Schizosaccharomyces pombe: one gene and its partners. Each later gene encodes a partner of the first gene's protein in a complex. Each region holds a gene or a part of one and is shown in the gene's direction. Other genes may lie near its edges. The genes, in order: mrp2, snr1, rsm27 and rsm23.

Region 1 (6,753 bases):
AATTCCTTTTTGATAAAAAAAAAATATGAGCGGATCCGTTACTTCTACGACTACCGAAACAAGATTATGCCCTTCCAACCAAGGGAGCGCTAAAAAGTATCGTCCTTGGAATGATTTCCGTAGTGACACTTTGACTGTTCCTACCGATGAAATGCGTCGCATCATGTATGAGGCCTCTGATGGTGATTGCGTTTATGAGGAAGATGAGGATACTAGAAAGTTGGAAGTTTATGTTGCAAAGTTGACTGGTAAGGAAGCTGCTTTGTTCGTAACATCTGGTACTCAAGGTAATCAGTTGTGTATTCGTAGTCATTTGCATCAACCTCCTCATAGTATCATTTGTGATGATCGCGCCCATATTTATAACTGGGAAGCGGGTGCAATTGGTTTGTTTACGCAAGCTATTGTTCGTCCTATTTCTCCAAAAAATAATGTATATATTACTGCCGAGGAAATTGAGAACAAGCTTATCCTGGGAAATGATATTCACTTTTCACCCACTGGGTTGATTTGTTTAGAAAATACTATTAAAGGTGCTGTCGTTCCATTGGATGAAGTGGCTCGTATATCTGGTTTAGCTAAGGCTCACAAGATCCCCCTGCATTGCGACGGTGCTCGCTTATGGGATGCTGCTGTTGCTTCCAACGTTTCAATTAAGGAGTACTGCTCTTACTTTGATTCCGTTAGTCTTTGCCTAAGCAAAGGTCTTGCGGCTCCTGTTGGTAGCATTATTGTGGGACCACGAGACTTTATTGCTAAAGCCAAATGGTTCCGTAAGGCTTATGGTGGTGGATTGAGACAATCTGGTATGCTTGCTGCTGCAGGATTATACTCAATTCAGCATAACTTTCCTTTGTTGAAGCAGGTCCATAAATATGCTATTGAAGTCGCCGAATACGCAGAATCTCTTGGAATTGAGCTTGAAGTTCCCACTCAAAGTAACATGGTGACATTGGCCAATATCAACGTTGCTATTCTTTGCGATGAAGCCAAAAAGTCTGGAATCATTTTAATGGGACCTCGTATCGTGTTTCATATTCAGATCACTCCTGATGCTGTCGAGATTTTGAAGAACGTTTTACGTCGCACAGTTGAGCGTCAAGCAGTTGAAACCCATATTGTTGCCAAACCTGGTGAGTTTTGTGTCGGCTATTAAGGGATTTTGCACATGTCACCTAAACTCTAAGCTTTATTTTCTATTTAAATCTTCTTTCTGCTTTATCAACTAGGCAAATTTTCTCGTCGACGCTCAAATTATTTTTACAGTAGTACATTCACTTGTCAAAGTTGACTGACATCTACTATTGCCTTTCAGTTTTTTGTATGAGTATGTAGAGTTATGTGCATTTCTTTCTTTTATGATTTTTTTTCATCGCTTTAGAGTGGTATTTAGTAGAACGTAGTTGTGTTGAAACGTATTCATAGTTATGTCTTATATAACGGTTGTTACATCATATTTAAACTGTCAGAATCAGCTCCTTTGCAATTTATTTTACACAGCTATTAGCAATTCGCTTCGCTTATCTTAGATACTTGTGAGGCACAGACTGTCAAAATTTGTTGAAAAGAAGCTGAAACAGTAATTTGCGCGTATGAAAACGTAAGTATTTATGTTTAACACCTAATATAATCGGCATCGTTGGAAATTCATCTTCGTAAAATTCGGTCAATTACCATCGAACTTCGACGTTGTCCTTTTGAAGCAACATTTAAAGGCCTATACCTCGCCAAACTCCTTTTTCATGTCATCTGTCAGTCTGCCATGAATTTCTCAAAAACATTACTAAAAAATTCAAAAGACGGGATTTCAAGTGTAATATTTTCACCCTCTGTCAAAAACGAACTAATTGCAGGGTGCTGGGATGGTAGCTTACTGCATTATCAAATCTCGGAAAATCCCGAACTTTTAGGGAAATACGATTTATCAAGTCCTATTCTTTCTTTAGAATATACAGATGAAAAAACTGCTTTAGTAGGAAATTTAGATGGGACAGTTACTACCCTCGATCTTAATACGCGAAACCATGAGTTTTTAGGAAACCACGGTAAGGGGGTATCGTGCATTTCTAAGTTGCGTTTGGAAAGTAAGATATATATTTTATTAGCCAGCTATTCTATTAACATTTTAGACTGTTTCATTAGTGGGTCTTGGGACAAATCATTTCGTGTTTGGGATGTTCGCGTAAAGCAACCTGTCGAGGGACAGGATATAGGAAAAAAAATTTTTGCAAGTAGCTCGAGAGATAATATATTGGTTCTAGGCTGTTCAGAAAGAGAAAATTTGGTGTACGATATTCGAAATTTAAAACTTCCATTTCAGCGACGTCCTTCTAGTTTTAAGTATATGACTCGAAGTGTTTGCTGTAACCAAAATTTTGAGGGATTCGTTTCTTCCAGCATTGAGGGAAGGACATCTGTTGAATATATTAACCCGTCTCAGGAAGCGCAAAGCAAAAATTTTACCTTTAAATGCCATCGGCAGATACAAAAGGACTACGATATTGTTTATCCAGTTAACGACCTAAAATTTCATCCGATTCATCAAACATTGGCAACTGCTGGGGGAGATGGCGTTGTTGCGTTTTGGGATATACAAGTCCGAAAACGATTAAGAGTGTTAAATCCTTCAAAGATCAATATATCATCTATTTCTTTTAATGTTGACGGAAGCATGCTTGCAATTGCCACTTGTGCTCAAGAAGAAGCCGCTGGTAATATCTATGTTCATGCTTTGGAATCCAACTTTGCAGCTCCAAAGTTAAAGTCATGAAATCGCTCATCAAAAAGCTTCATCCATGTAAAATCTTATGCAGATTCTTTTACTGCATACATATGAAATTTATATTATTTGAAGCACTCCTATTTAATGTTGTAAATGTTCAATATTTCCTCAGTGCTTCAAAGTGATAATTACGGTATTTATTATTTTTTATTCCACTATATATATTAAGTTAATAAGCAATTAATATAAACGCAAGACCATATTTATATAAAGAACGGGTTACGATTAAAAATACTTAATATAAAAACAATGTGACACTATTTGGTAGAAATTATCTAATTTACTTTGTTTCTCTTATTCACATTGTTTATAGTTATTAAAATAACTATAATTATACAGATCGCTAGCGCAGTTCGTAATTTATTTTGACTATTTCATCTACTGAGAATACACTCACAATTTGAACACAACAGAGAAGCCTTCTAAACCAGAAATAAAAAATATGAGGGCTTTGGGCCACCTGAAGCATAAAGCATTTCGTGATTTATTATGTAGGAGACTTTTTGCTGAACACGAAGTTGAACGTCAAAGCAATCTCTATATATATAGAAATCCTGAGCTACCTCTTCGGGTGCGTTTAGAAGCCAAAAAGCGGATTGAGGCTTTACCGACTAATGCACATCCTACAAAAATAAAAAATCGCTGTATTGAGACAGGTAGAGGCCGAGGTGTATTTCGTGCGTTTGGACTTGCAAGGGTACGATTATAATGTCATATAAATGCATTTTTGATGCTGACTATTTCAGTTTCCTTTTCGACTTAAAGCACTAGCTAATAAATTACCCGGAGTTCGGTAAGAATAAGCATTTTTACTTTTGTCACTAATCCATTCAGCAAGGCATCATGGTAATAATCGTTGTTTGTATTTCAATCCATGATAAGCGTTATTGAAATAAAAAGCTTTAATTATCTTCCGTGAATCCATCATGTTTATTATTAGCTAATATTTATTCGCCGTTTAAATGAAGTACAATTATTTGCATGATTACATTCCAAAACTGAATATTTACATTATCAATTGTTTATGATTGCCAATAGTTAGGTTCAGGTTCTGTGAGCGGCCTATCCATTATACTTTTAGTAGATATAGAACTGGTATTGTTGTTCTCTGTATCTTCATCAGGTGTACTATTTTTTTCGTTGTCTTCCTCTTGAGAAGTATCATCCGTTTCTTCATCTTCACTTTCACTGGTTGATGTTTCATATTCTCCTTCAGAACTTTCAGAAGTTTCACTAGCATAAAATTCTTCAAGCGTTTGCTGGCCAACAAATTTTGGACGGTTAATTGCGTTAGTATCTCCAAAATCACGTTTAAAGTTATCAGAAGATAATGCTTTCACACCCGGTGAATTGTTTGAATAAATATTTCCCGTATGAGGGTTTATTGGCAAAACATCCTTGATACCTTCTCGGACAGAATCAGGCGGTAAATCAGAGACATCAGCCCAGTTAGGGATTGGCTCATATCCCATCACGTCTTCATTCAAACATAAACTAGCGGTACCAATGCAGTAGTCCCGAGAAGCAATAATTTCTTTTTGACTATTCCCCTTGCTTTCCAATACGATGCGCCTAGTAAATTCAGAACTCGGTGTACTAGCTAGTTCTTTGTAAAACCTAGCTCTATCTCGTAAATCGTAACTCATGTCAAAGTGTATCAAAGATAAAACATAATTAAAAAGTAGTGACACGACATCATCTCTTGACTCTAAATCGTTTTGCTTCTCTTCAGAATGAGACAAAACATATAGTCTTACCGATAATTCGAGAATTTGATACTTCACTTCTAATGTCTCATCAGCAAAAGTTTTAACAGCAATGCGTAGCACATCAGGGACTAGTCGCGGTATGATTAGTATATGCTCCGAAATAAGCCATAGTGTAACGGATTTGGCCCGCGGTACTTCCAAAGTTTCATACGTTGCAGCTAAATACTGCAGATATATTTCTTTAGGATCATTATGAATGAGAAGCCGAAGTGAAGAGGCAGCTTCTGTCACGATAAGGCTATTATGTGATTTAAGTAACAGCAATAAAGTGTTAAGACAAGAGGGGGCCATAGAAATGTTAGCACTAGCAAAATCACCCAATGCCTTTACCGCCGTTGATGCAACAGAAGGATTCGGATGACTGTTAATGTAATACAATAATTCGGGAAGGATTTGCGATGAATTTTGAGCATCCAATAAACGCGACAATATGTTGATTTTTAAAAGGCACGTATCGTCACTGTCAGAAGCAATTAGAAAGAAACTCTTTATATGGTTTTTAAATAATTCCTAATATCATGTTAGAGTCGTTTAAATACAGGGCAATGATATATACTTACCGGTGTTTTATATACAATTTGAGAAATATATCGTAAAGTTGTCGTCCTAACAATTGGCTTTTCGAGCAAAAGCTGCAACAATGGTTCAACGATTAAGTGCATTTGATTTGAAGGAGCTAGATAGTAAAAAGCACGAGCACCTGCTATAATAGTACTCGGAAGAAGAGAGAAAAAGCAAGACTTTATTGACTCAAGTAGTTCCTTTAAATCTGAATGTGTTGAAGGAGTTGAAGGCTCGGGTAATGTAAGTCTGGCATATCTAACCAATGTTTTCAAAGCCACTACTTTGTCCCAGTCATTCATTTGCGGGAAAAGAGTACATATCCTATGATAATATGGATGAATAATTTCTAATTTCTCAGGACAAACGACTTCAAAAGTAAATAATGCAGCTGGGACTACAATAGGACTATTATCAGATAAAAGCGTTTTGATGTGCTCTTCCAATTGCGATTTATATGAAGGGTCAAGAGAATAGCACTTTGTAATTGCCAATGCCGCACTTTGGCGAACGCGATCAGCTGTATCAGTAATGCATTGCTGAATTGCTAAAAGAACGATTCCATTAATGGCAGGCACCCTGATACTGCTCATAACTCTAATTGCGGTAGATCTAGTTAACGGGTTTTTATCATACAGTGTTTTTTGAACAGTATTAACAGACAGCAAAGCAAGATCTGGATTGAACTCAGCATACTGGAGTAAATAAATATGGACCAGGCGTCGTATTTCCGGATTTTCTGAAGCAACTAACTTCACAACATCTGGGAAGTATAACGACATATTTTCGCCGTGCATCATTTGAGCTAAAATGAAGTTAATCGCCTCTAATTTGCCAGCATCAGAGTTGGAGTTCAAGAGGCGTAATAAATCGGAGTGGGAAAGCTCATTTTCTTCGAAAGAAAGACTCGAGCTTTTTGCTATCTGCTTTGCATTTTCCGCAAGCCCGCTTAAAGTCTGAAAGAACGATAGATTAGACATTTGAAGTAGGCCAACGTAAGGAAATCGGCGTGTAATAGCAGTGGATGCACTCAAAGAGCTAAAAAATGAAACCACTCCTAATAAAAATATTAATTTAATAAAAAATGCAAATCCAAGGATTTATACTGCCGCGCACGGATTTTCAATGAACCTTGGCAGTTGCTTGGTTGATATGTGCTAAAACATTATACATACCTCACTAGTGGTGTTTCGCTACTAAACACCATCAGTGCATTTCTTCATCCAAATTACTTTAAGTACATTGCATATTAAATTATTTAAATAGTAACTTACGAACAGTTTCAAGTGAATTTCCTCATGTTTTTCTCTTTAAGCTTTTTTTTTTTTACAAAAGGCAAAAAAGATCACGAACTTTAAAGCTCACATGATTAATGGGATAAACCAATACATCAAGTTATTGTTTAATGAGCATAGCAGCAGTGAATTATTTAAATCATAGTCTTGGTTATTCATAACTATCTTGTCTTTTAGCATTAATGTTCAGCCATGAGACAAACGGTATTATTTTCAATGCTACCTTTTTATATCATCACTATGTATTTGTTTTATTAGGCTGGTGTTTAAACTCAGCTAAGCATTAGTTATCTCAACTAAAAGATTGTATTAATATTTAGTTCGTAAGGCTGTACATTTTAAAGAA
Region 2 (7,297 bases), on another chromosome or scaffold:
ATTTTTTGAAAAGTAGATACCCTTCAAAATTTGATTTAAATGTTTCAATGTTAACGAAGAGTGATGACGTTGGAAAGACCCCGTTTTCAATTTTCGATTCACCAAGCAATCCTGGCTTTTCTCGGTCGCACCAAATGTGTTCTGACAAAAACAAGAGTCCCTTCCTCTTTGATAAGATTAGGGATGAACCCGTTTCTGTCGATCCCGTTAAACTTATCATTAATAATCGGAACAAACGGAAAATTAATAGACAGAAATCAAGGCTTCAAGGCCTTTATCGGTCCGATGCTAATGGTTTGCAACCATTGAATTCTGAAAATGTCAAAATGAAAAAATCAACTGCCTTGTCGTTGACAAGTTCACCCTTAAACTCTTGGAAAACTGATTTCAAAACACCGCCGAAAGCTAATGTTGTTTGTATCTCTTTAGTTATTGAAGGAGACGGCTGCGCATCATTGCTGTACGAAGATTTGAATCAGATTTCCAATAGTTGCCCTGAAGTAGCACCGAACCGTCAGAACGCTCTCTTTTCAGACGAAACGCTGACAACTATGTTCTATAGTGGTGTCACGGAGGATGAGGGCTCATGTAACAATTTACTACAATCTAGCTTCGGTGATGATCTGGACTTGGGAATGCAACGGTCTGCAACTTGGGCACCGGGCTATAATTATCCAAGCAAATTTGATAGCATACCTTTTGCTTCAGCATCTCCAAAAATAAAAGCAGCTTTCCCTTTCGATCCCAACGTTTATGCATTGAATACTAACGATGGTCCAGTCACGAGTACTGATAATAATTGTGATCAATTAAACACTAGGATGCAGGCATGGAATAATGGCTTTAATTACTCAAACCTAAATGGTGATATCCAATATCCTGCTGTTACACCAAAATTTTTTCAACAAGAAGGCCGGGCCCTTAATGTTTCCGACTGTAATTTTGGAAATGAAGAAATTGCTTACGGTGGAATTCCTATGCGTGTTTGTCATAGTGATAGCACATTATGTGATGCCAGAATTGCAGCTAAGCAAGCTTTAAAAGGTAAAAGGCAATATGACACATCAACATCAAAAGCAGAGCTCTCTACTCCCCCATCAAAACGAAGGCATATTGATGATGCCGATTTAGTTTTTCACAGTAGTCCCTTACTGTCACGCTCGCGATTCATTTGTTGCTACTGCACGAAGCCTTTCCTTTCAATTAGTAAACTTCAGGAACATGAGTCCTCGTGTTCACATGTTGAGCGACTCTTTGGGTTTGCCCCAAATCGTCTTTATGATGATGGTGATGGATTTTTGGGTTCGAGTTTTTGCAGTGATTGGTAAGATTATAGCATGTTTCGCTGCATCTATTTGATTGTCCAGCAGCTGAGATTGCTACGATTTATTCTTTATTTAAAACACATTTATTTCATGCTTTATTACTTATCATTAATCTTGTACTTTAATTTAATTTTTCATAGTTATTAATCTTTAATTAGTGTTTATGAGGCGATCTTTGAAGTCTCTCTTTTGTTTTTAGAATTAGCATTTTTTTCAAACAAGTAATTGCCAACTAACATAAAAATATTAATAAATTCATACATTTCAATTAACATCTGGTGAGCCAAGAGTGAGTTGTAGAATAATATTTAATGCTCATAATACCTATTCCACATCTATGTCATTCAAAATGTTAGACATCCAGTGGGGATGTGGCCATACACGAGCTATAACTTTAGCCTTAATAAGGCCCATTGGAACAGGTCCGTAATTTCGACTATCAAGTGAGTGAGCAATGTTATCTCCTGCAAGCCAAACATGACCTAAAGGTATAGTTATTTTTTTATTTGAAGAGGTGGGATCGACATAAATTGTATCTCCTGGCTATAAAATTAGTACAAAAAGGATAACGTTCCATGTGAAATACTCACCATTCCAATGATTCGTTTGCACACGTGTTGCTTTGAATCGGAAGGTTTTGCCGAAACAACAACATCTCCTACAGAACATGAACGAGCAAACCTACCATGCAATTTATCTAACAAAACGAATTCACCACTTTTTAAGTTAGAACCATAAATACAAAGCGTTATTTCAATACCCAGAATTTAATGTTGGCATCATACTTGGACCCGATGTCATTTGCACTTGAAAAAGATACTCATGAATTTGATGCACAAATGCAGCAATCTGAACGACGGCAATAGGAATACGGAACATGCCAGCCATTGTTAACCAAGAGGTAACTAATCAAGACAGTAAACTAAATAAGCCGAAATTAAAAAATTTAAACACGACAAGAGAAAGGATTGAAAAAAGAATTAATGATTGTGGATTATAATGTTTCCGTAACTACCAAAATCGGAAAATGTAGATTCATGAAATTCAAAAACAATTGAAAGATATGCGTTTATTTCATATCATAGAGATAAAGACGGTTCAGGTTTTGATTTCGTAAAAGAACTACTATTTGCATCAACATAAGCAGTCAGGGAAGCAGGTTGATCCATATCACTTAGTGTATTTCGTTGAGCAAACTTCTCTACAATTAACGACATGGCTTCAGAATCAATAAATAGTTTACCGAATTTTAGTGCATCTCGAACCTGAAACTCACCAACAGGAATAAAGGAGCAATGGTAGCCTAACTGTCTAGATGCAAGCAATAAATTATTATTTTTAAGGGACTCATCTTCAAAGTAATTATCGTTAAGGACAAAAAGTGCCTTCCCGTACTCGTGTCCTAACTTGTGTTGCTTCAAAACTTCAAGCAAAATCCGTGTTTTTGGTTGACTTAAGTTGATGGGATTTTCAAGGATGGTCAGTTCATTATTAATAAATCTTGTACTTAGCGCAATCCTCATTGCTAAATTATAAACTTGGGTTTGTAATTTTGTACTGAAATCTCTAGGCTTAGGACCATGTGATTTAGCACCACCTCTTCTTATAGGACTTGAGGCATCGCCTACCCGTGCATGTCCTGTACCTTTTTGTCGATAAAGTTTTCGACCGGAACAAGTAATTTCATTTCGGCGCTTTGAGCTAGCAGTGCCTTGACGGTCATTATCTGCTTCATAAATAACGGCACGATGCAAAATATCTCGACGAAATCTTTCTTGCAGGAAACTTCCGGGAATAAGAAAAAGACTCGCGGGCTCCAACGACGGAAATTTATATCGCACCAAGTGCAACATTTTTGCTGTCATTCTGATTAGTTTGTGAAATGGACGACTAGTACCTGAAGAATGGATGTATTTTACTTTCAATTAGTCTAACACAATGTACTAAGTATCACAATGCATTTCATTATAACATATTGTGCATTCAAAAGTATCGTAAAGCGTAAAGTATCGAGTTCATTAAATTACGTTGTTTTATGCAACAGGAACTTTATGACTGTATACTGTTAGATAAATTAATGATATCTCATTCATTACCTAAAATAGAAGAAATAATTATTTATACTATGTGATGTCGTACATTAAATATTTGGAATTTGCTCATTCTGACACCTTAAATTGTTGTTGCAAATAGCACCTGTGTATTACAATAACAGTTTTGAGTACTCAATGCTATGCAACAAGTGGTTTAAGACTTTTAAAATCGACAAACCCTGAGAAACTAAATTAATACTAAATATAGATTTTTTGAGACAAGTATTTGCCCAGCTAATGCATGGAAACCTACTTTGTTTTACGAATGGTCTTTTGTGATTTGTTATTAGTTCACAATTAAGAACACACTTCGTTATAAAGTAACGTAGAAGAGACGTTAACCGTCTATGCAAAAATAATCGGTGTTATTTAACTTGGTTAGCTTTCATGGGATTGAAATTAAATATCTCTAACGATTTGAAAAAATCTGGATTTATGTTAAGGCAATCCTTACTTAAAACAAGTGTGTCAAATTTCCTTTCTTTGAATGCAAGTAGCACCATGTCTAGAGCGTTTATTCGAAATCCAAAATTTTATAGCACTTCCTCAAATGATACAGTTTTATACGAGAGTAAAAATGGAGCAAGGATATTTACTTTAAACAGGCCAAAAGTATTGAACGCTATCAACGTTGACATGATAGATTCAATCCTACCAAAGCTAGTTTCATTAGAAGAATCAAATCTGGCCAAGGTAATTATTCTTAAAGGAAATGGTCGCTCTTTTAGTTCGGGAGGTGACATTAAAGCTGCAGCACTTTCAATACAAGATGGAAAATTACCTGAAGTTCGCCATGCATTTGCTCAAGAGTATCGATTAAGCCATACGTTAGCTACATACCAGAAACCAGTTGTGGCTTTGATGAATGGCATCACCATGGGAGGTGGATCTGGTTTGGCTATGCATGTTCCTTTCCGTATTGCGTGTGAAGATACGATGTTTGCTATGCCAGAAACCGGAATTGGCTATTTTACTGACGTGGCTGCCAGTTTCTTCTTCAGTAGACTACCAGGATACTTTGGAACTTATCTGGGATTGACATCTCAAATCGTAAAAGGATATGATTGCCTGCGTACTGGAATTGCAACTCATTTCGTTCCGAAGCATATGTTTCCTCATTTGGAGGACAGGCTTGCAGAGTTAAACACGTCTGATATTTCTAAAATCAATAATACAATCCTGGAATTTGCCGAATTTGCTAGCAGTTCACCACCCACTTTTACTCCAGACGTTATGGATGTCATTAATAAATGCTTCTGCAAAAATGATACCGTTGATATTATTCGTGCGTTAAAAGAATATGCTTCAAACACTAGTGCTTTAGCGGAATTTGCAAAATCTACCGTTAAAACATTGTATAGCAAATCTCCGACTTCAATTGCTGTTACCAATCGACTTATTAAGTCTGCTGCTAAGTGGAGTATATCTGAAGCATTTTACTATGATCATATCGTTTCCTATTATATGCTTAAACAGCCTGATTTTGTTGAAGGTGTTAATGCTCAACTTATTACAAAGACCAAAAATCCAAAATGGAGCAAATCCCATGAATATCACTTTAAAGATTTAGAAAACTATTTCAAGTTGCCTTCAGAATACAATAATGGGATATCTTTTGCTGCAAAAGGAAGACGTAAAACTCCCCTTTGGAATTATAAGACTTATCCTTATTTATAATCCCAAAGGTTACATAAATTAAATATTGTTCTTTATGTCTACTAAGTTTTTTCAGTATTATAATAAGATGATTTATTTCAAAGACCCTGTTATGTTTTAGCATGCGATAAAGCACATAACTCTTTTTAGCAGCTAAAAATAATGATAGCCATTTTAAATACTCATACTAAAACTCTTTTTCGGTAGCTGTGCGTACGATAGTTCAAAAAAAAGAATGCTAACGGCATTAATATATATTCCATAATTCCCATATTGGATCAAACAATGAGAAAATAATTGACAAAACTGCCAAACGCATACCCAAAATATATTTTTATTATTCCAATTGCTCACGGCCTTACCATAAGCTTTTCTAGCAAAAAAAATTATATGATAAACTAAAAAAGCATGCACTTATGGCATATATTTCTGTTTACTGATGTCTCAAGTATTTTCCTACGATGATACAGTGATCACGTTCGTAAGGCTCTAAAGTAAGTTGTTCTTGAGGTTTAATCTTTTCCTCTTGCATTTTCTTAACCTCACGAGCAAAAACAACAGCTGCATCAGCGGTAGAATCAATACAAGAAGCCTTAACAGAGATAACAACTCCACCTTCGTTTTTCAAAAAGGCGGCGGCGTTCAAAGCAACGATACGAGCCTGATCGGGTTGAGCAACGTCTGCAAAAACAACGTCAACCATTCCGACTAACATACGATACTTTTGAACATGGCGAGCATCCTCAACAATGGGGATGACATTCGTGCGCTTTTTAGCCATGTTAAGAAGATCACGTCCAGAACGATGAGAAAACTCAACAGCGTAGACAAGACCCTCAGGACCAACAACATCAGCAACGTGAGAAACGGATGTACCGTTAGCAGCACCAAGATATAAAACACGTGCACCAGGTTTAATATAGATGTTGTCTAAACCGCCCAAAATACCTGCGGCAAGTTTAGAACGGAAAGGATTCCATACACGGTATTCAACTTTGGTACCATCTGGGGAATCAACGCTAATACGTTTTTCATTGTATACTGATTCACCAGGCACCAGATTGCGGGTGACAAGCAAATCTTCTTTTCCGCGAGCAATGAAGACACCTGCATGACGATGAGGCTCAATAATAACTTTAGCACCTCCTTTGGCTCCACCACGGCCACCGCTAGAACCACCGCGGCCTCCTCTGGCACCTCCACGACCGCCACGACCGCCACGAGCACCACCGCGTCCTCCTCCTCTGGCACCTCCACGGCCACCGCCGAAACCACCACGGCCACCATTGAAACCACCACGGCCTCCTCTAGAGCCACCTCGTCCACCTCTTGAACCTGGTGTATATGCCATTATTTTTTTTTGTGGTAGGTAATGGGTCTGTAAAATTTTTAGGATAGCAGAGAGGATTACAGTTGGTGTGACTACGAACACAATTCTGCAACGCTAAAAATTTTTACGAGTTCGAAACAATCTGTAAAACCTCTAGTTAACGAAGGTAAACAACGCTAAAGCTAACTTAATGACATTAGTAGCATCGCAGTGTTATTATTTGCAGCTCATAACTTCTCATTAGTAAGGTAAACATATGTAGCAAAAGATGGGTTCCTGCTGTTTGAAAAGCAATTGTTTTAGGTCTCAGCAACAAATTAGAGGTATTCAATATAATTCTTTTGAAAGATTGGTGAAGAGAATGAATAGACATCTCTACTTGTGTTCATATAATAATTACGTTTTGACAATCGAAGTAACTAAACTTAGAGTTACAAGAGGTAGTGATTTATTGTCAGAACCGTTATTAGTTGTAGTTCTTCCAACCTAGTACTAGTTCTTATACCTTATCATATAAACTCGGTGTGAGCTAACAATGCACTTAAAGATTGTTAATTAATGTACGAACAGATCTAGCTTTGACGTATAAAATAAATAGAAAAAGCTATTGCAGATAGTTATAGTAATAGCCGCTTACTTTTTGCTGGCTGTCCGCATTATCATTTTAGAAAAGCAAATGCTAATAAATAACACCACAGCTTCAAATAATGCGCGTACTAACCTAATACTAGCTATTAAAAAAGGAACCATGTAAGTAGAATATACTCACAGAATGATAAAAAATTACTTAGTATATTTTTTATACCTGCATTGGAAAAAAAAATTCAAAATTTAAAAAGACAAGAAAACAAATTGAAATTTTAAAGACAAATCCTAACTTAGATCCGCTTATT
Region 3 (8,424 bases), on another chromosome or scaffold:
ATCGATTCCGCATCAGACTTTTCCTCTGCTTTCTCTTCTTCTACATCAGTTTCGGAAAAAGAAGTATTACTCTCTGAATCTGAAGATGAGTCTGAACTTAAATCAGCAGACGATTTACCAATAGAAGAGTTACTATGCGTAACCTCCGCAATTTCATCAGCGATTTTTACATTGGATTTCTCGGATGAATTAGTAGCTGGAATGCCAACTTCTTCGTTGCTAATGAACTCCTCTTTTGGCATGAGCAAACCTGATGATGGAACAACACAATCCTTTGGGTTAGCCAATGCAACATCCAATAAGTCGATTTTGTTCTCATCTTGATAGTTTTCCTTGTGTTGGTTTATATCTTCTGTTGAAGAAAATAAAATTTCATTATCTTTTTGCTTAATTTCGCCAGAATTCGCTGAAGAAATATTCTGAAAGTTAACTATGTTCGGTAGATTATTTTCAGTATTAGTATTCAAGTTGTTTTTATCGATTGGGTCGCCCTGTGGGGTATTGATATTATCGATAGATAAATTTGAAGGAATTTGATCTTCTTTTACAAAATTTGATGAACTTGCGTTTGTAGACAGTTGCTTCGATTTTTCAACTTTCGATTCATCATCATAAATCAACGAAAGCCCTGGTATTTTACAAGGGAGATGCGGATACATAAAAACGCCTTTCGAAAAAGTTTTCGGTGCTTTCAATTACGGGATTTGGCAGAATATACTGAGACTAAGTTAGCAGGACGTAAATAATAAAATTTGATTTATATACAATAAAAACATTATATTCATAAATAGAAATAAAACTAAATATTAGAATTAAAACTAATACAAAATGAATTCATCTCTATGCAACATATCATAGGCAGTGAAGCGTAGAGTTACTCGCAAAAAAATAACAGTGGCTAAAATTTTTAACTGATTTTAAAAGCTATTTTGTTCACGATCCTAAAAAACATATAAATTTGTAGGAAACAGTACTAAGGCATCTAGGTTGAGCAAACCTCAAAATATGTTACAGCCTAAGTGAATATTGGAAGCTTCACCTGTTTGTATTGTAAAGCGTACAGCTACTGTATCGAATAGTTTAGGTCATTAGTTAATAATTGGATTAAAAAAAATCAATAGCGATAACAAATCATGACTATCTAACAAACATCAAACTCACATTAAAGATTGGAAAAATGAAGAAACCTTTTGGTAGCCTTCATCAAAGCGCTTCCTTTGTTCGGGGTTGGAAAGGTCTGCGCGAGCAGCCATCCAACCATGGAACATGTCGCTGAATGTTTCGAAGGAAGACTTGGCATAAGCGGGGTTTGTCTTGAACGCTTCTTCCCATTCTTTGATGATTTTAGCATCTTCGTCTTTAGAGCAAAGAAACAATACAGGACAATGAACATTGGCTGCATCAGCGCTATCAGGGAAGGAAGGGTGACAGCTAGCAATTCCAACGAAATCAATTGTAGCGGGATAAGTGACCAAAACTTTAGCACCCCAACAAAATCCATAAGTGCCAATAGTAACATTTGGTCCATGGTTAGCGCGCACAGCTTCTACAACTTTAGCAAGTTTCGGCCAGTGCAAATTAGGAGAAATTCTAGTAGAAAAAAAATCATTGCATAACTTTTGGTCCTCTGGCGTCTTAGGGGGTAAAGCAGTAACTGGCAACGGCTTTCCCTCTAAGAAATCGGGTAAGTAGACGGTAAAGCCATCATCTGCCAATTTATCAGCACCCTCTTTAATTTGATCAGAGAGACCAAATATATCCATGAAACCAATCAAAACACGGGTATTGGAAGTAGATCCAACAACATAGGTGGTCAATCCTCCAAAGTTTTCAATTTCTTTACCCTTAAAGGTATAGGACTTGTTAGAAGCTGCGGCACCACGACTTGTTGGACAGCAAGAGGCCATTTTCTTAAATTAATCAATGGTTCGTACAAAAAGTAACTGTACAAGTTTATTAAAAAACCACAATAAAATGGTAAGTTGGGTGAAATTTCGTCAGTACTGTTGGCTGTATATATATATCATATCATACACATTATGTCAAAAATCGGCATTGCATATATTATAACGATATTCTCTATATTTCCATGGAAAATAATATTATGTATCAAATAAACACTGACTATAATTAATAAAATATACATCCTTTTTAATTGCAAAATGTATCGCGAGTATTAAAATTGAAAGCGGATTATTTTCTTTATTAATGCTTACACATAAACACTGTGTATCCATGATATCTTACGGCCGCATGCTTTAGTCCTTCATAAGTGTTATCCAAAAAAAAAAGAAAAAAAAATACAGCGTATGACTATTCATAACAAGTATACAAAGTAAACTTTTTTTCCTCTATCATCAAACATATATTCTGAGAAGTTTGTGAGTCGGTTTGTTTAGATGAGAAATAATAAACTTGCAGTTATGACACAATACCTACCAAAGATGCTATACACGGGACATACATTTATTAGTTGGGATTGCAATCATTAATTATCGTTTAAAAGTCTACAACAGTTGGTTTGCATCTATTGTAAAAAGAGGATTGTAGCATGCCAAATTATGAATTTACGGTCTCATTGAACGTCAAAGGCGGAAAAAACCAGGAAAACTTTAAGTAGTTAAGCTATGTACTTTTGTCGAAAAGTTTATGTCTGAACATTTATCTCTAAAAACGCCTTACCTTTGTTAAAGTCTTTAGAAAATGTGAAAAACTGCAAATTAAATATTGGTCTGTAGCTTATAAAACTATCTTCAATCTTTAATAATGCAAGAAATAATTTTTTGACTTCGCGTACCAAAGAAACCCTTATAACGCGTGTACTAAATATAACTTTTAAATAATACTGTCAATAAAAAGTCCGAAGTTAAAAAAGGAACTTTCTTTCATCAATTTCCAACTATAACTATTCAATCTGTTGTTGGTTTAATCATCAGAAACCATACATTGGTTCAAGGCTTGTTTATACTCAATGCTGTTGACCATTAAATAAAAAAAATTCCATGTCAAGCTAACGAAATTGTTTACTTTTATTTTCGCTAATGAATTATGTAGTTTATCATAATACAAAGCAGCTTTTATCTCTACATGGCTAGTACAAATCATATGGTGATGAATTTACTGTTATGAAAATAAAGTAATGCTTTAAGTATATTTGAGGGCTTCAAAATTCATAGTCACTGATGCACCGGAATCAATAATCCGTGCAATTATGCATCAATTTGAACCACAACTTTAGGCTGTTTTAACTTCTCGTTCATCACCTTTTTGTCGGTGTTTATGCTCTGCTTTTCGGATATCGCCCTTAGGAGTTCAAACGATCTATTGCGGCAATCAATTTTGAGCACCGTATCTAGTGATAACAAATTATCTTTATCGGTTAAGCACGTTATTGCAGCTGCTTCAGTATGTACACATTTCACTATTTAGCAAAAATAAGATGAAACAAATGATACTACTAAGAGGTTATAATCATATCAGACTGTTTAACCATTCTTTTGTCATTTGCAATAAACACAAAATTTATAAAAGTGGTAGTATTCTTGTTAATCATCTACGTACTGTATTTAATTTGTTGTACCATAAGCCAACTCGAAATATTTTACCATCACACTGTTCTACTTTGCCCACTACACATATACAACAACACAGCGGGATAGCCCTAATTTTTAACGAAGTTAAAAAGAAGTTTGAGGGAATTTAAAATGATTCGTCTTCAAAAGTTTGGTGAAATTGTTGGGACCAGTCGTTCTTGGAAACTTCTTAGTTCAACCATCGCAAAGCGCTATTCTTCTTCTTCCAATGGAGTGAAGGAAATGACCGTTCGTGATGCTTTGAACAGTGCAATGGAAGAAGAAATGAAACGTGACGATCGTGTCTTCTTGATTGGCGAAGAGGTTGCGCAATACAATGGTGCTTATAAGATATCTAGAGGTTTATTAGACAAGTTTGGTCCTAAACGTGTTATCGACACTCCCATTACTGAAATGGGTTTTACTGGTTTGGCAACAGGTGCTGCTTTTGCTGGTTTACGTCCTATTTGTGAGTTTATGACTTTCAATTTTTCCATGCAGGCTATCGATCATATCGTTAACTCGGCCGCCAGAACCCTGTACATGTCTGGTGGTATTCAGGCTTGTCCTATTGTCTTCCGTGGACCTAATGGGCCTGCCGCTGCAGTTGCTGCTCAGCATTCTCAACACTTTGCTCCATGGTATGGTAGTATCCCTGGTCTTAAAGTAGTTTCTCCTTACTCAGCAGAAGATGCTCGTGGTTTGTTGAAGGCTGCTATTCGTGATCCTAATCCCGTTGTTGTACTTGAAAACGAAATTCTTTATGGTAAAACCTTTCCAATTTCGAAAGAAGCGTTGAGCGAGGACTTTGTGCTTCCCTTTGGCCTTGCTAAGGTGGAGCGCCCCGGTAAAGATATCACCATCGTTGGTGAGTCTATTTCTGTTGTTACTGCTTTAGAAGCAGCTGACAAGCTCAAGGCTGACTATGGTGTTGAAGCTGAAGTTATAAACTTGCGTAGTATTCGTCCTTTAGACATCAATACTATCGCGGCCAGTGTTAAGAAGACAAATCGTATTGTGACTGTTGACCAGGCATATAGTCAACATGGTATTGGTAGTGAAATTGCTGCTCAAATTATGGAGTCTGACGCATTTGATTATCTTGATGCTCCTGTTGAACGTGTAAGTATGGCAGATGTTCCCATGCCTTATAGTCATCCTGTTGAGGCTGCTTCTGTCCCAAATGCCGATGTTGTTGTTGCTGCTGCTAAAAAATGCTTGTATATTAAATAACAAGCTCAATTGTTGAGTCATCTGTTTAATAAAACCCGCTCTTTTCCCTTTTCCGAATAGTTGATATCTACGTATTTCGCTTTCTATTATTTTTACATTATCTACAAAGTGTAAATATCTAAGATGCTTGTCTTTAATGACTCAGATTATTGTGTGTGGGTCTTAGATGGTTTTAATTTCTTTGCAATTATTTGCGAAGATATGATTTTTCCAACCATCTTTCCAATTGGTTATCCGGGTTGGTATATCTACCTTTCAGGATAGTTTTGCTTCGTTTATCCTTAATATATGTTATATTGTATATATTACTAAATTCGTGTAAGTTTTTTAACGTAATCTGAAAGCCAGTGAACTTCAATTATATTATATTACAGCTAATGGAAATAATACGCTATATGAATATGTTCAACTATTTGGTGTCTATTATACTCTACTTAACTACTCGTAACCTCTTAAAGCGTAGAATATTAAGTACTTGATCCCACTAAACCTATTTACAGGTCTATCTTTAGTCAATGCACCAAAATGTTTCCATGTGGGGTTGATGAACTACTTATCCCACATCATCCGCTGTAGTATATCTAAGTAGACTTGCGCTAATAATACTTACAATAACAGAATTTCAGAATCCTTGCAGATGAAATCATAGTAGTGTCTTTAGCCTTATTATTGTTGTTTTTATTTCGTTTTGCCTTTAACTTTAAGCAACCACATTCCCTAGGAGCCTTCCCTAATTTTTGGTATAAAATCATGGCTAGCAAAGCAATCCTGGAAGAATTAAATATTCTCTCATCAAAAATATTTGGCACTCAGTATAAATCAAACAACTCGAGAACGGGTCGCAAATTTGTAGTACAAGAGCTGAAGGGAGCAAAACTGAAGAGCTACTATCCCGCAACTATCAATTATCGTCAATTAAGGACCCTTTTAAATGATAAAACATTTCCCGATAGTGATGAGGAATTGCGAATGGAAATCAGGAAAGGGTATGTTAGTTGTTAATTGAGATTGAATGTTTCTTTCACAAGAAATTAGCTAATTAAAATACTAGGAGAATACGCCAAGGAAAAGGAGCCTCCAAGTCAAAAAGTATGTAAAGCTTACTATAAAACCGAATTAGGAACCTTCTAACTCCTGTTTAGAAAAATAAATAATTGAAAATTGTGCCTTTCTAATACTTTGCGGTTACATTTCGCACATTTTCTTTCCAATTATTATCAAATGGGTAACGGCTAAACAGCTTTGAACGAAACTGATAAACTAAGTTTAATTATAAAAATTTTGTTGTTTCATAAACAAAAAATATTATATATCAACTGTGTGCAACAATACTTAACATTTTGATCAGTCGTAAGGAAATTTTTTCTGATGAAAAAGAAGATCTCGCAGTTTTCTAATAGATATTCTTTTGGTCGGAAGCATAGCGTACTGGATATTGTAGAGTTGCTCAGCAGGTATCGCTGGAACTGGGCAACCTACGAGCAAACTAATCAAAGTAGTTTTTGAAAGGTAATGCGAAATTAACCTACGCGCCAGTTTCCGATAATGCTCAAACATGGATCCAAGAGACATCGGTTTGGAGTTGCAATTGAGATATAGCGTTGCGAAGCCGTCTTGTTTTAATGGTTCAAAGCTGACTATCTCAAAATTCAGCCCACTTGGTATTCTATAAGGATCTTTAATTCGTAACATTGTAACAAATAATGGGAAGTGATTCAGGAAGGCTAACATAGTTTCACAGATTGCCAAGCATGTCATCACGGATACTCGTGTTAATGCAAATGCTGCATAGAAAACATATATTGTAGGTAAGAAGAATATTAGTACCGTAAAAAGGATTGTTCCTAAAAGTAGTTGGTCTAAATCATACTCATATGAGTCGATTCTATTTCGTAAAACGTTTCTTTTTTTTCCTCGAAAAAGCTGCAGCAAACTATAAATTACACGTAGCTGCCAATTATACAAACGTGATGAAGCCAAATAAAGCAAATGTATATGAATAGTCATAACACTTAAAAAATCAGAAATTAAAGCGATCATTAAACTAGCACCCCCAAACCCAGAAATAGCGACAACTTGAACCAAAAATGGAGTCCAAGGCAAACAATGCAAAAGAAAATTACTCCATACGTCAATAACCCATACAGAAAGCTTCATAATAAACTTGCAAATGTCGTTGTTTAGTTTTAATCCAGCAGGAGTATCCACGAGCCATATAACCATAGAACGAACGTTTTTTATCGCATACTCGAATGTGATATTTTCTATTAATTTTACCACCAGATGAAGATTCTCTAAAATAAATGAACTCATTGTAATCCCAAAGATCATGTCATTCGCAACCAACCAAAGGTTGTTATAGAATCTAATATATTCTTTGTAATCCTCTATCGCAACGCGCTTGCTTTTCCGAAAAACCCATAATTTCATATATTGTACAGGCCAAAAACACGCTTGTTGCAACCTCAAATCTACTTGACGAGCAGAAACGAAAATATCCATCATATTATAAGATAAAGGAATCGGTCGGTAATTAATCGCCAAGAGTATAACCTCATTAATTATCCTCAATAATATGATAAAGTAAGCAAACAGCGAATTAAAAAAATAAAAGGTTGATGACGAGACACGATCAAAAAGTCGAAAAACATATGAATTTTTTTTGTTATTATTTTCATGTGTTAACATGCGAACCTCGAAGGATTGATTAAGAAGCTCAATTAAGCCTGAGCGTAGACTCCTTTTCCAGCTATTTTCTTTGCGTCGGGGAAAGTGCAATTTCAATTTTTTTAACAGTATTTGCTGGTGTTGCATGCTTTCGTATTCAGGGTTTGACTTGTTAATAAAACTATCTTTTAACAATAAAAGCGATAGAGGTTCAAGGGAAAGAAATTGCATTTTTCTTGGCTGCGGAGGATGATAATAAATTATATGCAGATTTATTTTTAAAGGCGTACTAGCCGAATCGAAAACTCGGGGATGAGAAAGCTCAGTCGATTGCTGCACTTTGATCCAACAATCAATTTCATATTTGTCACCCGGCAAAATATCGGCAGAGCAATTAAACGTGCCTAATATACACAGAGATTTAATATCTACTGATTGATCTTGATTTTTGCAATAATCAACTAAAAAATTAGCGAAGGATTGATAACTAGTAATTGTTGTCACAACGATAAGATCGTTGGTAGAGTACTTCCAACCAACTAAGTAACCAGAATCGGTATAAGAGATCGTACTTTTGGGCCAATATATCCGTTTCACTTCAATTGGAGCCGAAGCTATATTCATGGTTGTGGTAGACATTTGAAATATAATATTGAATGCTCTGAAGTCAATTCCGAAGTGTTTAATAAAAAAGACAAACAAGTAATAACAGACTTTAGAAGCATACAAAAAACTTTTGTTAAGAAAAATATAACAGGAGATGATACTGCTCTCTCCGGTGTTTAGAACTCAAGTTGTAAAATCAAAAACTTCCTCGACGTAAAAGCTGTTCCCTTGCAGAAATGCCACCGCTAACTGACGTTGAGTTACGAGCTTCGGATTCAGCGATTCGTTCTAAAAGAATGAAAATAAAAAATCCTAAAACGGTAAACAGTAGTACGTATGAAGGAAC
Region 4 (7,341 bases), on another chromosome or scaffold:
GCTTGCACAATACCAGAAAAATCTCAAACACATCTTTCCATTCGCTTTTTTTTACTCGGTCCGATAATCGGTCAGCATAGTACCGTTGAGCTACATGCAGATCATGAACGTAAGCGGCTTCTGAATCACGAAATTCCTCCAGAACAGAAATAATGGCTTTTTGTTTACTCCTCATAGCAATCGTCGATTCTGTGGTAGTGCTACAACTAGTTCTTGTCGACCTTGTTTCAGTTTCATGTTGACTTAACGCTATGGTCCAGTCAGGCCGTAATTTCAAAGTATCTTCTAAAGTGTGTGTCGAATTGGCTATAGGCAAGCTATCTGAAACAACTCTTTTTCCACGGCTTTGGAACATCCTTGGGTTACTCATCTTTAATCGGCTGTTGATTCAATGAGTTATCTACTCAAACGCGGGCACTTAGGAGTTCGTAGCGCGTTTGATTAGATCTCACAAAGCTAAAACAGAGTAGCAAGGCCGTTGATGAGTCGATTTCTTCTTTAAATACAATGCTAATTTAATCCAAAGAGTAACGCTTTTATCAATGAAATAGTTGAATAGCTGTTTTCTTTGTTGTTGCGGACGGCAAGAATAACCAGGTTACCTTAGTGGATATAGGAAAGAATTCCGCTTTTGAAAGAATGACTACAATGATATTGTACTTTATCAACATAAGCAAAGTTATTTGTACATAAATTATTTTCTTTTCTTATTTTTTAAAACTAACTAGTGGTCTTTGGGGATGCATTAAGTATTTGCTTAAAATATCGAACGTAAACAATACTTAGAAAATTAATGATATACACCATAAAATCGACGAAGTAGCCAACCGAGAAACAAATGATAATATTGGTAAGCTTTTTTTTGGATTAATGAGTTTTTCTTTAATTTTTTTTCTATTTATTTGCATTTTTTAAATTTTTTTTATTATTACTACTAAAAGCATCAATCTCATATCAAAATTAATTATTATGTTAAATATTTAAATAAACAAGTCAGTATTAGAAAACTTATTATACACTCGGTTTAAAAATGATTAGAAATTGAAGTATGGCTTGCACATTTATTTATATAATCTACTAAAAATTTATGTTTACCACTCAAAAGGATATGTTTTGATTGAGTATATCATTCATAGAAAATGCAAAAACCAATTTTAGAACATAAACAATTATATTTTTAAAAATTCACAGCTATATTTGCATCAGCCGGGAGTCGAACCCGGAGCTAGAGCATGGGAAGCTCCAATGTTACCGCTACACCACTAATGCATTCAGATATTTAGACTGATGTTGCAATCTATATAGTAATTTAGAAAGGATTGTTATTGTTGAGTCTGATGAAATTCTGTTTGTTGAACATTTCAAAAATGTTGCATATCAGTTAGCCATGAGTTGGGCTCTTAATATGATGTTCCAGCCTTTTAAGACTGCATACAGAAAATAATAATTAACTACGATATGGTCGCATTTTAACTGTATGAAACTTTTTTTACAAGAGGTTATTAGAAAATTCAATTGGAGGAAATCCCACAGTGTATCAAAACAGTTGCTGTTAAAACTTACTTTACACTTAACTCGTAAACATTCAACATTTTAACGTTCGATTTTCGAGTAGCAGCTTCAAAAAAGTGCTCGTTAATTTTTAACACATAAAAATGTGTAAACAAAGCAGCCACATAACCGATGTCTTACATATTCCTTCTGTACCCGTTGATATCCCAATTGAAGAAGGGATTTTAGTTGTAGCAAACAAAAACAAACGATAATAACAAAATAAAAATGATATTATACCACTTAACCCATGAATAGCTAAATTATAGTAAATTTTTAAATTAAGAAAAATTTTTTTTAAGCAGGACCAATTAATGGCGACGAGAGCGCTTGATTTTTTTTGAGGTATTTCTCACTTGCTTGGAAGTAAGCTTCTTTTCCTTTTCTCCCTCTTCAACAAGCCATTGTGTCTCTAATTCCTTATTTTTACCCTTATAACCCCATTTTGGTACCCATTCACCAGATGCTTCATCAAACACCAACCTGCCTTCCCGCTTCTTAGGAGCAATACCTTTAATACGAGCAAACCGTTGCCATTTGGTTTCGGGCTTGGGTTTAGGTAAAGGTTTAGCACGAGGAAGAGGTGTAACAGTTTCAGGAAGCTGTAAAAGGACGCCATCTGATGTACGCTCCTTAGGCAAGGAAATCATTTTGTTCACCAATTGTTGAACGTTATCTCTACTGAGAGAAAAAAGGAATGATTCTTTCTCTGAACCGCTAAGCTTAGTTTCATCTAAGGGAGAAATATCAAATGCAGCCATATTTCCCAAATCGAAATCTAGAGGAATGGAGTTTTCTATTTGTGCAGACATGATTAACGAAATAGGGACAAGGAAAAAAAAAGGGTTGATAATACAATTAAGTGACAAAAAGTTCTCAAAAAAGACTGCAAAATTGATTTGTTAAAAAGTTGGTTCAGGATACGAAATTCTTCTTTCAAACTCCAAAATTTTTATCAAACTACTGAATATATAAGAGAAAAAGCTCTCTTTCAGTTCAGCAATCTACTGTTTTTACTTTCTTTATGACAAACGAAGAAAGTAAGAAAACTTTTACGATTCTTTAGTTTTTGCAAAAGTAGAGACACTTATTAGCAATACGTTAGTTCTCTTTATTACTGAACGCCAAATCTACCCTATTAAAAAATATTAGCAATGCGCTAAGAGCTCAGTAAATACTTACCATCCGGAAGCAGTCAGTCTCTTCATTTACGTGAGAACAGATATGTATACTTAAGATTTACGAGAAAAAAATACCTCTAACAAAATGCTACCGAAGTTTAGAAGCAGAAGTAGTATTATTAAGAATACAGAGAGAATTTCTAATATCCTGTCCGGTGGAAAACTGACTGTTTGCGGTAGTAAACTGGGAGGACTCTACACTTTTGAAAAATGCACATTTAACAAATACTATTCATCCTCACAATACCAGCATACGGGTAGACCTGTTGGAGGAAATATACATTCAAGCTCTAACCAGCAGCGTCAAAAAAATTCGGAAGCGCCAAGAATTAATGAAATTCCCCCCTCAACTTCGTCAGTAGAGAAATCGACGACTATTCCCAATAGTAGCGTTGTATTGGATCATCTCTTAAATGAAGGAGAAAATACTTTAGAAGAGGTGAAGCCCTCTGAAATTCATCCGCATATGTCTTGGTCCAGCAAGTCTGAAGGTAAGATGTTTAAAATCCCCGAGGAATTGCTTAATAAACTTAATGGATTTGGGGCTTTAGAAAAACAAAAAAAAAGTTTCTCCTTTTTTACCAGTGCTTCCCTTTTGCACAGGAAAATTACAACTGAATTAGTGAATGTACTGCAGCGCTCCAAAGACCAGGGTACGAAGGACGGACGTTTTCTTCTTGATGGTGCTCCAGGTTCAGGAAGAAGTATTGCTCTCATACAAGCTGAACTTTTCGCCTTATCACAACCTAATTTTATAGTCTTGCCAGTCCATAACTGCGAAGGATGGGTAAATTCAACGAGTAGTTATGGTTATGATGAGCAACTCAAGTTGTGGGTGCAACCAGATTTAATTAAGGGATTTCTAACTTCTGTTATGAAAACTAATTCTGATAAACTTAAGAAGCTAAAGACCTTTGAAAGTCATGAGTTGCTTCAGAACGAATGCATTCCTGCTGGTACCGATTTACTTTCCTTTCTTCATAAGCTAATTGCTTCCTCGAACGCTCCTAAATCTCTGGAAATATTTTTACAAGAACTCAATAACAATACCAAGTCAAATTCCAATATGAAGGTGTTATTAGTGATCGATAATATTTCTATTTTATCGGTCGTTACCAAGTATAAGGACAAAAAGAACAACTTCCTTCCCCCTAAAGACTTTTACTTTATTAATTTACTTTTCAAATATATTTCGGGTTCGCTTACTTTTAATCGTGGTACTGTTTTAGCTGCTACTTCTAGCCAACCGCGTGTTTCTACCCCGTCATTGGATATAGCTCTTGGAGTAGCTCACAGAAATCCTTACAAATCTTCTGATGAGACTATATTAGATTCATTACAGTCCGTGCATATTCTTAACATGGAGCCTTACACTTTAGATGAGTCACGTCGCATGATGGAGTATTTGGTATCATCCAACGTTTGCCTTGAAAAGGTTGATAATTATTTGCAAAATCATGTCCTTAGTGGTGGTAATCCGCGAAAGTTTTTTGATGCTTGCACACGTCTAGCATGATTGAGATATTCAAAAATTTCTATCCACTACAACTCCTTTAACGCGGTTTTATTTTTCTATTTTCTATTCTCATGTTGTTCCAAATATGTATCATCTCGTATTAGGCTTTTTTCCGTTTTACTCCTGGAATCGTACCTTTTTCACTATTCCCCCTAATGAATAATCTAAATTAGTTTCGCTTATAATTGATAGTAGTAGAAAGATTGGTGATTCTACTCGTGTAATGTTATTAGTTTAAAGATACTTTGCAAAACATTTATTAGCTATCATTATATAAAAAAAATCCTATAATTATAAATATTAATCAATATTTGCGGTCACTATTTATTTAAAACGTTATGATCAGTAGGACACTTTGCATATATATAGTTATGCTTAATGGTTACTTGTAACTTGCATGACCGAACACCATACCCCCAAAAGCAGGATTCTTCGCTTTCTAGAGAATCAATATGTATACCTATGTACCTTAAATGATTATGTACAACTTGTTTTGAGAGGGTCGCCGGCAAGCTCGTATAGCAATATATGCGAACGCTTGAGAAGCGATGTACAAACGTCCTTTTCTATTTTTCTTCATTCGACTGTAGTCGGCTTCGACAGTAAGCCAGATGAAGGTGTTCAATTTTCTTCTCCAAAATGCTCACAGTCAGAGGTATATATATTTTTGTTTTGATTTTTTTCTATTCGGGATAGCTAATATATGGGCAGCTAATAGCGAATGTTGTAAAACAGATGTTCGATGAAAGTTTTGAGCGTCGAAGGAATCTACTGATGAAAGGGTTTTCCATGGTAAGGTATTCTAATTGTGAAATATTTACCTGCAATTACTGTTTCAAAGAGATTGTATTTAACCGATAAAGAATCATGAAGATTTTCGAGCCATGCATGTAAACGGAGTACAAAATGATCTCGTTTCTACTTTTCCTAATTACCTTATATCTATACTTGAGTCAAAAAATTGGCAACTTTTGTTAGAAATGTAAATACCGGTTAAGATGTTGCGCACTTTGAACAAGACTGACAAGTATAGTATCGGCAGTGATGCCATGCATTACTTATTATCCAAAGGAAGTATTTTTGAGGCTCTTCCAAATGACAATTACCTTCAGATTTCTGGCATACCACTTTTTAAAAATAATGTGTTTGAGGAAACTGTGTCAAAAAAAAGAAAGCGAACCATTGAAACATCCATTACTCAAAATAAAAGCGCCCGCAAAGAAGTTTCCTGGAATAGCATTTCAATTAGTAGGTTTAGCATTTTTTACAGGTCATCCTATAAGAAGTTTAAGCAAGGTAACTAATACTGTTATCCTTCATAACTAATTTTAGATCTATATTTTAACTTACACTCTATTTGTGATCGGAACACAGTACACATGTGGCTTCAATGGATTTTTCCAAGGCAATTTGGACTTATAAACGCATTTCAAGTGAAGCAATTGCACAAAGTGATTCCACTGGTATCACAGAGTACAGTTGTGCCCAAACGTCTCCTAAAGGTATACCCTTTAATTGAACAAACAGCAAAGCGACTCCATCGTATTTCTCTATCAAAAGTTTACAACCATTATTGCCCATATATTGACACCCACGATGATGAAAAAATCCTTAGTTATTCCTTAAAGCCGAACCAGGTGTTTGCGTTTCTTCGATCCATTCTTGTTCGAGTGTTTCCTAAATTAATCTGGGGTAACCAAAGGATATTTGAGATAATATTAAAAGGTATTGTATAAAATTTATTACCACTAACGATTTTACCAGACCTCGAAACTTTCTTGAAATTATCGAGATACGAGTCTTTTAGTTTACATTATTTAATGAGTAACATAAAGGTAATATGCCAAATTTTTTTACCATTAATTAACAATCAGATTTCAGAAATTGAATGGCTAGTCCTTGGAAAAAGGTCAAATGCGAAAATGTGCTTAAGTGATTTTGAGAAACGCAAGCAAATATTTGCGGAATTCATCTACTGGCTATACAATTCGTTTATAATACCTATTTTACAATCTTTTTTTTATATCACTGAATCAAGTGATTTACGAAATCGAACTGTTTATTTTAGAAAAGATATTTGGAAACTCTTGTGCCGACCCTTTATTACATCAATGAAAATGGAAGCGTTTGAAAAAATAAACGAGGTATTTTAAAGTATTTTTTGCAAAAAGCTAATATTTTCAGAACAATGTTAGGATGGATACTCAGAAAACTACTTTGCCTCCAGCAGTTATTCGTCTATTACCTAAGAAGAATACCTTTCGTCTCATTACGAATTTAAGAAAAAGATTCTTAATAAAGGTATTAATTTTTGGTCATCAATGTACTTTACTTCTAATCTATTATTAGCAGATGGGTTCAAACAAAAAAATGTTAGTCAGTACGAACCAAACTTTACGACCTGTGGCATCGATACTGAAACATTTAATCAATGAAGAAAGTAGTGGTATTCCATTTAACTTGGAGGTTTACATGAAGCTTCTTACTTTTAAGAAGGATCTTCTTAAGCACCGAATGTTTGGGTAATTATATAATGCGCGATTCCTCATTATTAATTTTGCAGGCGTAAGAAGTATTTTGTACGGATAGATATAAAATCCTGTTATGATCGAATAAAGCAAGATTTGATGTTTCGGATTGTTAAAAAGAAACTCAAGGATCCCGAATTTGTAATTCGAAAGTATGCAACCATACATGCAACAAGTGACCGAGCTACAAAAAACTTTGTTAGTGAGGCGTTTTCCTATTGTAAGTTTATTTTTTCATTGGAATTTTTTAACAAATTCTTTTTTAGTTGATATGGTGCCTTTTGAAAAAGTCGTGCAGTTACTTTCTATGAAAACATCAGATACTTTGTTTGTTGATTTTGTGGATTATTGGACCAAAAGTTCTTCTGAAATTTTTAAAATGCTCAAGGAACATCTCTCTGGACACATTGTTAAGGTATACCAATTGTTGAATTGTAATAACACTAATGAAACTAGATAGGAAATTCTCAATACCTTCAAAAAGTTGGTATCCCTCAGGGCTCAATTCTGTCATCTTTTTTGTGTCATTTCTATATGGAAGATTTGATTGATGAATACCTATCGT

What was found.
Region 2: mrp2 (region 1) and snr1 share a complex: the UniProt entries of both Schizosaccharomyces pombe proteins name them as parts of the mitochondrial small ribosomal subunit.
Region 3: mrp2 (region 1) and rsm27 share a complex: the UniProt entries of both Schizosaccharomyces pombe proteins name them as parts of the mitochondrial small ribosomal subunit.
Region 4: mrp2 (region 1) and rsm23 share a complex: the UniProt entries of both Schizosaccharomyces pombe proteins name them as parts of the mitochondrial small ribosomal subunit.

Annotation. Positions count from the first base shown.
Region 1 is NC_003424.3:2,502,316-2,509,068, reverse strand, and holds mrp2 (mitochondrial 37S ribosomal protein uS14m), read left to right. Parts: upstream 1-3,184; 5' UTR 3,185-3,224; coding exon 3,225-3,479; exon of another isoform or gene 3,480-3,528; coding exon 3,529-3,575; exon of another isoform or gene 3,576-3,616; coding exon 3,617-3,632; 3' UTR 3,633-3,804; downstream 3,805-6,753. Other genes in the region: threonine aldolase Gly1, read left to right, coding at 26-1,156; mitotic spindle checkpoint WD repeat protein Bub3, read left to right, coding at 1,763-2,084, 2,130-2,770; AP-3 adaptor complex subunit Apl6, read right to left, coding at 3,805-5,061, 5,112-6,092. UniProt on the Schizosaccharomyces pombe protein: Component of the mitochondrial ribosome (mitoribosome), a dedicated translation machinery responsible for the synthesis of mitochondrial genome-encoded proteins, including at least some of the essential transmembrane subunits of the mitochondrial respiratory chain.
Region 2 is NC_003423.3:2,977,257-2,984,553, forward strand, and holds snr1 (mitochondrial 37S ribosomal protein mS47 ), read left to right. Parts: upstream 1-3,745; 5' UTR 3,746-3,805; coding exon 3,806-5,095; 3' UTR 5,096-5,184; downstream 5,185-7,297. Other genes in the region: MBF transcription factor activator Rep1, read left to right, coding at 1-1,328; mmp1 (endopeptidase catalytic subunit), read right to left, coding at 1,650-1,868, 1,916-2,042, 2,086-2,213; yml6 (mitochondrial 54S ribosomal protein uL4m), read right to left, coding at 2,405-3,190; fib1 (fibrillarin, rRNA and histone methyltransferase), read right to left, coding at 5,508-6,425. UniProt on the Schizosaccharomyces pombe protein: Component of the mitochondrial ribosome (mitoribosome), a dedicated translation machinery responsible for the synthesis of mitochondrial genome-encoded proteins, including at least some of the essential transmembrane subunits of the mitochondrial respiratory chain.
Region 3 is NC_003423.3:3,066,839-3,075,262, forward strand, and holds rsm27 (mitochondrial 37S ribosomal protein mS33), read left to right. Parts: upstream 1-5,415; 5' UTR 5,416-5,555; coding exon 5,556-5,791; intron 5,792-5,856; coding exon 5,857-5,894; intron 5,895-5,947; coding exon 5,948-5,955; 3' UTR 5,956-6,149; downstream 6,150-8,424. Other genes in the region: snoRNP assembly factor Naf1, read right to left, coding at 1-659; SPOM_SPBC30D10.14 (dienelactone hydrolase family protein), read right to left, coding at 1,158-1,907; pyruvate dehydrogenase e1 component beta subunit Pdb1, read left to right, coding at 3,705-4,805; gpi1 (pig-Q), read right to left, coding at 6,150-8,111. UniProt on the Schizosaccharomyces pombe protein: Component of the mitochondrial ribosome (mitoribosome), a dedicated translation machinery responsible for the synthesis of mitochondrial genome-encoded proteins, including at least some of the essential transmembrane subunits of the mitochondrial respiratory chain.
Region 4 is NC_003423.3:2,063,415-2,070,755, reverse strand, and holds rsm23 (mitochondrial 37S ribosomal protein mS29), read left to right. Parts: upstream 1-2,765; 5' UTR 2,766-2,817; coding exon 2,818-4,248; 3' UTR 4,249-4,569; downstream 4,570-7,341. Other genes in the region: gef3 (RhoGEF for Cdc42/Rho3/Rho4 (Gef3)), read right to left, coding at 1-370; ribosome biogenesis protein Rrs1, read right to left, coding at 1,863-2,363; telomerase reverse transcriptase 1 protein Trt1, read left to right, coding at 4,646-4,903, 4,960-5,040, 5,112-5,230, 5,282-5,544, 5,581-5,973, 6,013-6,083, 6,123-6,392, 6,433-6,549 and 4 more. UniProt on the Schizosaccharomyces pombe protein: Component of the mitochondrial ribosome (mitoribosome), a dedicated translation machinery responsible for the synthesis of mitochondrial genome-encoded proteins, including at least some of the essential transmembrane subunits of the mitochondrial respiratory chain.